Linked DNA regions of Caenorhabditis elegans. The protein of the gene in region 2 interacts with the protein of the main gene of each other region in a biochemical or structural test. Each region holds a gene or a part of one and is shown on either strand. Other genes may lie near its edges. The genes, in order: rbx-1 and ubc-16.

Region 1 (3,554 bases), on a different chromosome or scaffold from region 2:
GATCACTTCGATGATAACAGAAAATATATAAATATGTAGCTAAGTTGGAGAGTACGGTAGGTTACGGTGTGATCGCGGTGAGATATCAGGTGATTATAAACTATATAGTTTAAGTAAGCCCAAAGCCCAATAGCGGCCTGAATATACCTCGTTTTTAAAGAAACGTTTTAAGTTACTTCAGAATGAAAAAAAAACAGTCTAGAAGTATTGGGAATTAAATTTTCGAGTGGCAGTTATATTAAAAAAAATAAACCGATGTGTATAATTTTCATTGAGTTTTGCCCTACTTTGTGAACTTCAACACTTCTAAATATGTATGAACAATTTTGTGCAATTTGGCATTCGGAGGAACTACTGTATCTGAAATCGTGGCAGGACCCAGCCAAGAGAAGTAGTGTGCGCCTTTAAAGTGATACTTCACTTTTCATGAAGTTAAGAATATCCGCAATTTAGCAACGTCGATTATTGAACAATAAACGTTTGTAGACAGTTTTAAAAGCAGAAAATTATCTTGGTCTATATTAATGAGAGAACTCTACAAAAATCAGTATCCAAAATTTAAAAAAAACTTTGGCACAGAAACGAACAAGCAATCGTAATAATCAATTATTACGGAAAGGAATACGAAGAAGCGGCGAGAAATGTGCTGCAATTCGGTTTTGAACGTTTTAGCCGAATTGCAAATAAATTACGCGAGACGAGACCTCCTCCTTTTGCTCCGGCGGCTTGAACGGTGCCCGCAACCTGAACCTAAACAGCCTAAGCACATAAACGGCACGAGAATTGTCTCGTTGAGAATTATGAGACCAGAGGACACAGTTCATATTTATATTTTTAGCGGAGAAAAATTAAATATTCAAGCGAGGAAGGATGATTTTAGAAGGTCAGAAGGGATTGGAGATTTGAATAAACAAATGAAAAGTGTCAGATCACATAGAGACTAACACGTCTGGATTTTAATGTGCTTTTTTTTGGGACGAATACATATTCACAAAAGGAAATAGAAGAAAAATCAGTGAATACAAGTAAAAAAGTGTGAAGAAACTGCCCGGGCGGTTGGCAGAAGAATGAAGATCGATTAGTGTCCGTACTTTTGGAATTCCCACTCACGATTGTCCAATGGGCATACCTGAAAAGATAGAATTAGAAAATGTGTAAGCTTTTTGAAATGCTAGTTACGAGTACTTAGTAATTGAAAAAAATTAAATTTTCAAAAGTTGTTTAACAAAAATGCATGCGGCAGGCTTCTGTTCCGCTTTGACATTTGAATAAATATCATTTTTTCAAAAATAAGCACGTTTAAAAGCAACCTACCTGTCGTGTCTTCAGCCAACGAGAAATGCAATGGAAGTGGAAAGCGTGATTACAGTTTCCCCATGCAACGGTACACTCATCCTTGAGCCCGGCTGCTTGATTCGCTTGGCACTCGATGCACAGATCCATGATGTGATTGCGGCAAATAGCGCAGTTGTCGACCTGAATGTCCCAGGCCCAAAGTGCGACGGCACTCCATTTCTTGACCTTAAATTGCACTATGTTTGTTAAAGCATGTAACATTGTATCTGTGTTACCTCGAAACGCTTCTTAACTGTCTGATTTGTGGCCTCCTCGACCTCCATAGCTGTGCTGTCGCTTGCTTGGGCCATTTCTGGAAAAAATACAAATGAGAATAACAGTAATCATTTCAAAATAAGAGCGCAAAAGTAGCATTGATGATATAATGAAATACTTAATATTGAACATGTTTATGCATACTATAATACTATAAGCCTAAACTAAATAGAGGATATGATTGATAAAATTGTTGTATCAGATTTTATGAAAAATTGTACCCTAGAACAAGTGATTCACGAACCTAATACAACATTGTTGTACAAAGCCGCCGATAGAAAATGAGGAAACATGAAGGACTTGACATTATTGCTAATATGTATTGAAAAAGGAGATACGCTGTTGTAAAATAAATAAAATGAAATCAGACTGAGCAACACTGCCGAAATTCTTTCGAAAGAATCATCAAAAACGCTTGTCTGCACACACCAGACGCTACGCGCATTTGCGTACACCGTACTCACCTATTTTCTGTCTTCACGCTTTCGCTTTCTTTTTAAAATTTACTCGTCGCGTCTTATTTCTTGCCGAAACGAACAAAGAAGAACAGGTTAAAAAGAAAAATTGTATTTAACAAAAATAAACCGTATCAGTTAGTATTTTAACAGTAATTCTAACAATTGGGACGATGAGAAAACAACTTTTAAATCGTTTCAAGATATTTATTCTGGCAAATCCGTGTATCCAATTCTCTTTTTCTTTCGCTCCGGAAAACATTTTTCAGTAATTTCTTTCAGCTTGTTTCCTAGATTTTTTCGATAGTCAATAACCATGTCGCAGTCGATGGTTCCGTCGGGTCTCTCGTGATGGCTTTTTATGTGCTTGATCACATCAGATTTTGCAATTGTCTGCCATTTTCTGTGACAGATTCCGCACTCGTAGAGCTCATATTTTCCGTGACGCGTATTTGCATGATACACCATGCTTGATCTTTGTTTGGAAACAACGTCTCCACAAAGAGAACATTGAATTTGTTGCTTCGGCTTGATCGGACCACCGCCATCAGATGCTCCCTCGAATGAAGGACCGGCTCCACGTTCTTCTTCGTGACGTGCCAGAGTTTCGTCTGAATTAAATCCAAATGAGTGGGAATCATTATTATGTGTAAGTTTACCTAGAAAGGCATGATAAGCATTATCTACGAAGACAACAGGAGAAGATGACTGAATAGGTGTGCCAGTTGCTTCTGAGTTTTCGACTTTGACTCTGTTCTCCACTGTGCTTGACACCGCATCGCTGATTTTCCCTTCAATCCGCATAGATCGACTCATTGCAATGCACCGTTCGAGCTTTTGGGTCAGTTCCTTCTTTTTCATACTCAACTCCGGTGTGTAGCGATATTTTATCTGCAATTTAAATTATTGTTGAATTTTTTTTCTGCGTCTCTCAACATTGGAGACTTACAGAAAATTCGGTGAGTCCATGATCATTCATACAGTGACTGACAAGGGCGAATTCCGTTGGAAACTTAGCGTACTTACATTTTTCGCATCTAAAATAGTAAAGCTACGTTCACCACATATTAAAAGTTAAAGACTTACTCATATGGGCATATGTTAAGATGATCACTAGCAATGTGTGCTTCGAGATCTTCCAGTGTGTTGTAGGCCTCAGTTTGAACGCAATCTAGACATCCCAGTAGTCGGTTCATTTTTTGAATGTAATAAATATATTCTGCAAATTTAGTAATATAGATTTAGAAGCGAACGGTTAACAAAATGTGTTCGAAATCAACTGAAGACGCGTGGAAAAAGGAAAAGAATGGTGAGAAGAAGAAGGAAGGAAAATGGAGAGAAGGGGGTGGTTTTGTGTGTGTGAGGAGGAGAAGAAGGCCGGGCGGGCAATGGCCAGTCTCTTCCTCCTTTCTCCTTCCTTTCTTCTCCTCTTTCTTCTTTTTTCTTCTTCTCATCGCTCGGTTCGCGCTACATTGAAACGGAGAGAGA
Region 2 (4,289 bases):
TTTCGAATGGCTTGTGATGGAAGATTTGGACGCTCTGCAAATTCGATTTTGAAAATAATATTTCTAAACTTAAAATTCACCGGTGATGTAATGTTCTCTTTCTCCACCAAATCAAGAATCGCTGTTGCTGTGCTTAGTCCTATTACGCCTTCTCCAACTATTGCGATTCGAAGAGAGCTTGCTGGAAATCGGTTCAACCATATTTTAATGTTTGATTTTAGCAATTACCTGAATAAATCTGGCCACAAAGAAGAAAAGGGAAAATTACATGGAACATATTATCTGAATTTAAGCCTTGGTATCCTGGTCCTGCCACGCGCGCAACTTTTCCGTTACAGTACCCGCAAATATTTCGCAATAATCCAATATAATTTCTTATGTATTTTTACTGTTTTGCTGCTAATTTTCAATTCCGGCAAATCGCCGACTTGCCGGAAATTTTAATTCCGGCAGTGTGCCGTTTTTCCGGGAAAATCGTTTGCCGCCCACCCTTGTATCGAAATATTATCAAATGTGGGTACTGTAGCTAAAAAAGGTTCGCTCGTGCCAGGACCCGTGGGCTAAGATATTTAAATTTTTAAAAACCAGTAATAATTATATTCTTATGGAATAGGGACCCCAATATGCAAAATGTTAAGGTACGTGGTCTCAAAAGAAAATTCTAAAAAAGGAGTACTGTGCCTCTGGCCGTTTCAAGACCATGTACCGTACTTGCTGCGTGAGAATTATCGAGATAATATCCAATTAATTGTTGTTGTTGTTTTTTAATAATTAAAAAGATGCATATTTTATTTACAAAATTCACAAACAAAAGAAAACGTATCAGAAAACACTGATGGCATGGGAGACAAGATGAGGAAGGAAGAAGGTGTGTATAATTGAAGGTGGCATGTTGAATGGGATTATTGATGATGAAAAAAGGCAAAAAAGAGGGAGAAGAGTAATTGCGGAAAAAAAAAATAATTTTATAGGTCAATTATTTTCTGGTATCACGTATTCGGCGGGAGAACATAGCAAAGAAGATTGGAGGGGTCCTTCAAACACTGTCGTCTGAAAAAAAATTGTGTTTAATTTGTTTCGAATTTTCGAATTAAGTATTAAAACTGACCATGGAACCACCAGCGAGTCTTACTCGGATTCTTACTGCACGTTCTCACATAAATAGCGTCATCAATTGGATGTTTCTTCTCTTTTGACGATGAAAGCATTGACAGAATCGAGAGGCACACGGATTGAACACTGAGAGCAGGTGTCCAATCATCTGATAGGATAGACAGGCAGATATGTCCATTTGAGTAGATGTGCGGGTGGGCTGGGATAGTTTCGCCGACGAACATCACCTGGAAAAGTGATGATTTGGGTGCATATTGAACAATGTTATACTATTAGGGTGATCGATAAGTTTTTTCGTTTGTTCTCAGTTTTTATTTTTTTCTCAAATATTATTTTGTAATTACATAGTAATTAGTGAGTAGTGAAAAATTTATAAATACCAACCAATTCCGACAACTTCCAGACTGCACCATCTGCCTTCGAGTGGTCGAGAAGAAAAAATAATTTTTTCGATTTTTTTGGTTTTTGGGTTGAATGGAAATGTTAGTGTTTCATGCAGTTGGAAAACTTTTGTATAACGCAGATTAAAAATAGTTGGCAACGAAAAGCACTCCTTGATATCTTAAATTTGAGAAGGTACCGAAAATTAGTTGCAAAAATTACAATTTTCTCTTCAGAGTGGTATATCTTAGACTGCGTCACAGATTTCTATTTATGAACAACTACAAAAATATTAACCAATTATTTCTACACATTAATAATAATAATTTCAAAACCGGCAATTGTCGAAATTGCCGAAATTTTCCAATACCGGCAATTGTCAAAATTTCCAAAACCGACAAAATTGTGAAATTTGCCGAAAATTTCCAAAACCGGAAATTATCGAAATTGCCGAAATTTTCCAAAACCGGCAATTATCGAAATTGCCGAAAATTTCCAAAACCGGCAATTGTCAAAATTGCCGAAATTTTCCAAAACCGGCAATTGTCAAAATTACCGAAAATTTCCCAAACCGACAAAATTGTCGAAATTGCCGAAAATTTCCAAAACCGGCAATTATCGAAATTGCCGAAATTTTCCAAAACCGGAAATTGTCGAAATTGCCGAAAATTTCCAATATATACATATACGAATTCGGAGTCCGAATGCGTATTTAAGCCAAAAAGTACCAAATGGATTTATATTTTATGATGATTTTTTGGCTTAATTACGCGTTTAAAGACGAAAAAATTGTCCCAACATCAATTTGAGCAAGATTGTATTTTTTAATTCGTTATGTTTATTGTATTTAACTTTCAGAAAATATAACATTCCACCAATCTGGACACCAAAAAAGAGTCTCTAGTTAGTCCAATTTTTCACGAAAATAAATTTGTTCTTACCTCCGGAGAATTGAACGGGTACTGAGGACCAAACGTGAATTGCAGCATAAAAACTTCACCCGCATACAATGTTCCCTCGGCGCCGACGACTCCTATTTTCCATTGTCTAAATTAAAATTCGTATTAATTTCAAATTAAAACTGAAAAAATCGATCGTACTTCAAATCGTTACTTGTTGATGTATTATCCACTAAAAGCCCTTCTGGAGCCTCACTTTTCAGTTGAGCCAGCTCTTTCATCAGTCGTCTTGTCGCAGCATCTGACATTCCTGATGAGTGGAGGCGTCTGAAATTAGGGGTATTATGTGTTGATTCACGCAGAATTCGTATACTTCTCGAGGAGAAGAGAATTTTACAGTTTTTTTGGCTTAAATTATTGATTTTTAATCAATAATTTCTGCTCATAATTTCCAATTATAGAAAGAATAAAATCGAAAAAGCTACGTACGACTTTGCGCTTTTAATTGGCGTTTTCCTCTAAAATAAAAAAACCGAAAATTTTAGTTTTCTCATTTTCAGGTTTTTAATTTTTTGAAGAAAAAACACTGTTTTTCGAAATGAAACGTATTCCCTGAAGATAATTGTTTATGTCACACGAAAGCTGCCTAAAAAGTATAAAAAATAATTCGAAATAAAGAATGCGAATTGACGCATTTTCAACAGAACAAAGATGAAAAAACGATTGAAAAAAGTTATTTTTAAACGAAATTTTAATTACAGCATTTCAGAAGATCATCAGAGTCAAAATCATAGTTCGAAAACCCGGTAAAATAAATTAAAATGAAATTATTTAATTATTTCTTCAGTGAGATATCATGAAACTGTCTTGCTAACAAGTGTACAACACTCGGTGGTCCATCTTCTCTTGATAATAGTTCCAGCCTCGCTTTCTTTTTACTATATTCCGATCCTTCTTCCTCTTTCATTTCCACGTCATCTGAAGCTTCTGTCTCCTGAAGCATATGAAGCACTCCGTCTTGCAGTTTGACACGTGTCAGTTCCGAAGGTTGAGGTGGAGCTGGAAGCTTCCCACGGATCATTTGGAATTGGTCATCGACAACTTCTCGACCATCACGCAGATATTTTCTGGAAAAAAGGAGAAAAAATATACAAATTTAAAACTTAATTCCGATTTGACTAACTTAAAATCCTTGCAAATATCCGATAATTCTTCGATTTGTCTCTCTTGTAAAATTCGAACACTGTCGCGAGCCTGAAAAACATAGAAAAATATAGATTTTATTTCATTTTTAAAACACTTTTCTACCTGAACTGGCCGGAATTCATTGATCAAATGATGCATATTAATGAATATCGTGTGTAAATCGACCATTTTCTCCTCTCTCATTGGGTGATCGGGAGCGCGAATCAGAATTTCGACCAAATCGAAAAATGCGACTATGGCGGACCTGTTCAACTTCTTCATCTCGGTTTTCCAATTATTTTTGTTCTTGTAGAGCTCAGCAACACCGGCGTTTTTCAGAGGGCTGTAAATGAATGTTTTATTCTAGTTTTTCCCGCGTATTGAAAAAGGTTTTTGCAAAATAGGTGGGAAAATTCGGCTAGACTCAGCATGTTTTTGGTTTTTATATAGCCGCTAAAATTTCTTACGCGATGACATCATCTTCCAATCGATATTCCTCTCCGTACACCTTGAATTCCGTAAGTGGATGCGGCGGAGGTGGTGCCGAACCTGAATCTTGTTAAAGTGATGTATGAGAAATCTGTTAGAGAAATTGCGTTTTATTTCTAACAAAAAAAAATACTGTTTGCTGAATTAAAAACTGCTAGTTTCAAAATTTCAAAATTCAAACTCCTTACCATTATTGATTCGATCACTTGTATACGCCGATGC

The links.
Region 1: of the proteins of ubc-16 (region 2) and rbx-1, one has a biochemical effect on the other in vitro, tested with the Caenorhabditis elegans proteins (one study listed by BioGRID).

Annotation. Positions count from the first base shown.
Region 1 is NC_003283.11:9,688,875-9,692,428, forward strand, and holds rbx-1 (RING-box protein 1), read right to left. Parts: upstream 1,649-3,554; 5' UTR 1,647-1,648; coding exon 1,572-1,646; intron 1,522-1,571; coding exon 1,315-1,521; intron 1,130-1,314; coding exon 1,079-1,129; 3' UTR 812-1,078; downstream 1-811. Other genes in the region: ztf-9 (C2H2-type domain-containing protein), read right to left, coding at 2,274-2,677, 2,726-2,957, 3,016-3,103, 3,153-3,262. UniProt on the Caenorhabditis elegans protein: Component of the SCF (SKP1-CUL1-F-box protein) E3 ubiquitin ligase complex, which mediates the ubiquitination and subsequent proteasomal degradation of target proteins.
Region 2 is NC_003279.8:14,820,481-14,824,769, reverse strand, and holds ubc-16 (Ubiquitin-conjugating enzyme E2 W), read right to left. Parts: upstream 2,721-4,289; 5' UTR 2,702-2,720; coding exon 2,595-2,701; intron 2,542-2,594; coding exon 2,436-2,541; intron 1,341-2,435; coding exon 1,109-1,340; intron 1,051-1,108; coding exon 1,037-1,050; 3' UTR 780-1,036; downstream 1-779. Other genes in the region: let-49 (Mediator of RNA polymerase II transcription subunit 7), read right to left, coding at 3,229-3,520, 3,577-3,647, 3,702-3,921, 4,046-4,133, 4,256-4,289. UniProt on the Caenorhabditis elegans protein: Accepts ubiquitin from the E1 complex and catalyzes its covalent attachment to other proteins. Together with ubc-18, required for the ubiquitination of membranous organelles, and the removal of paternal mitochondria from early embryos.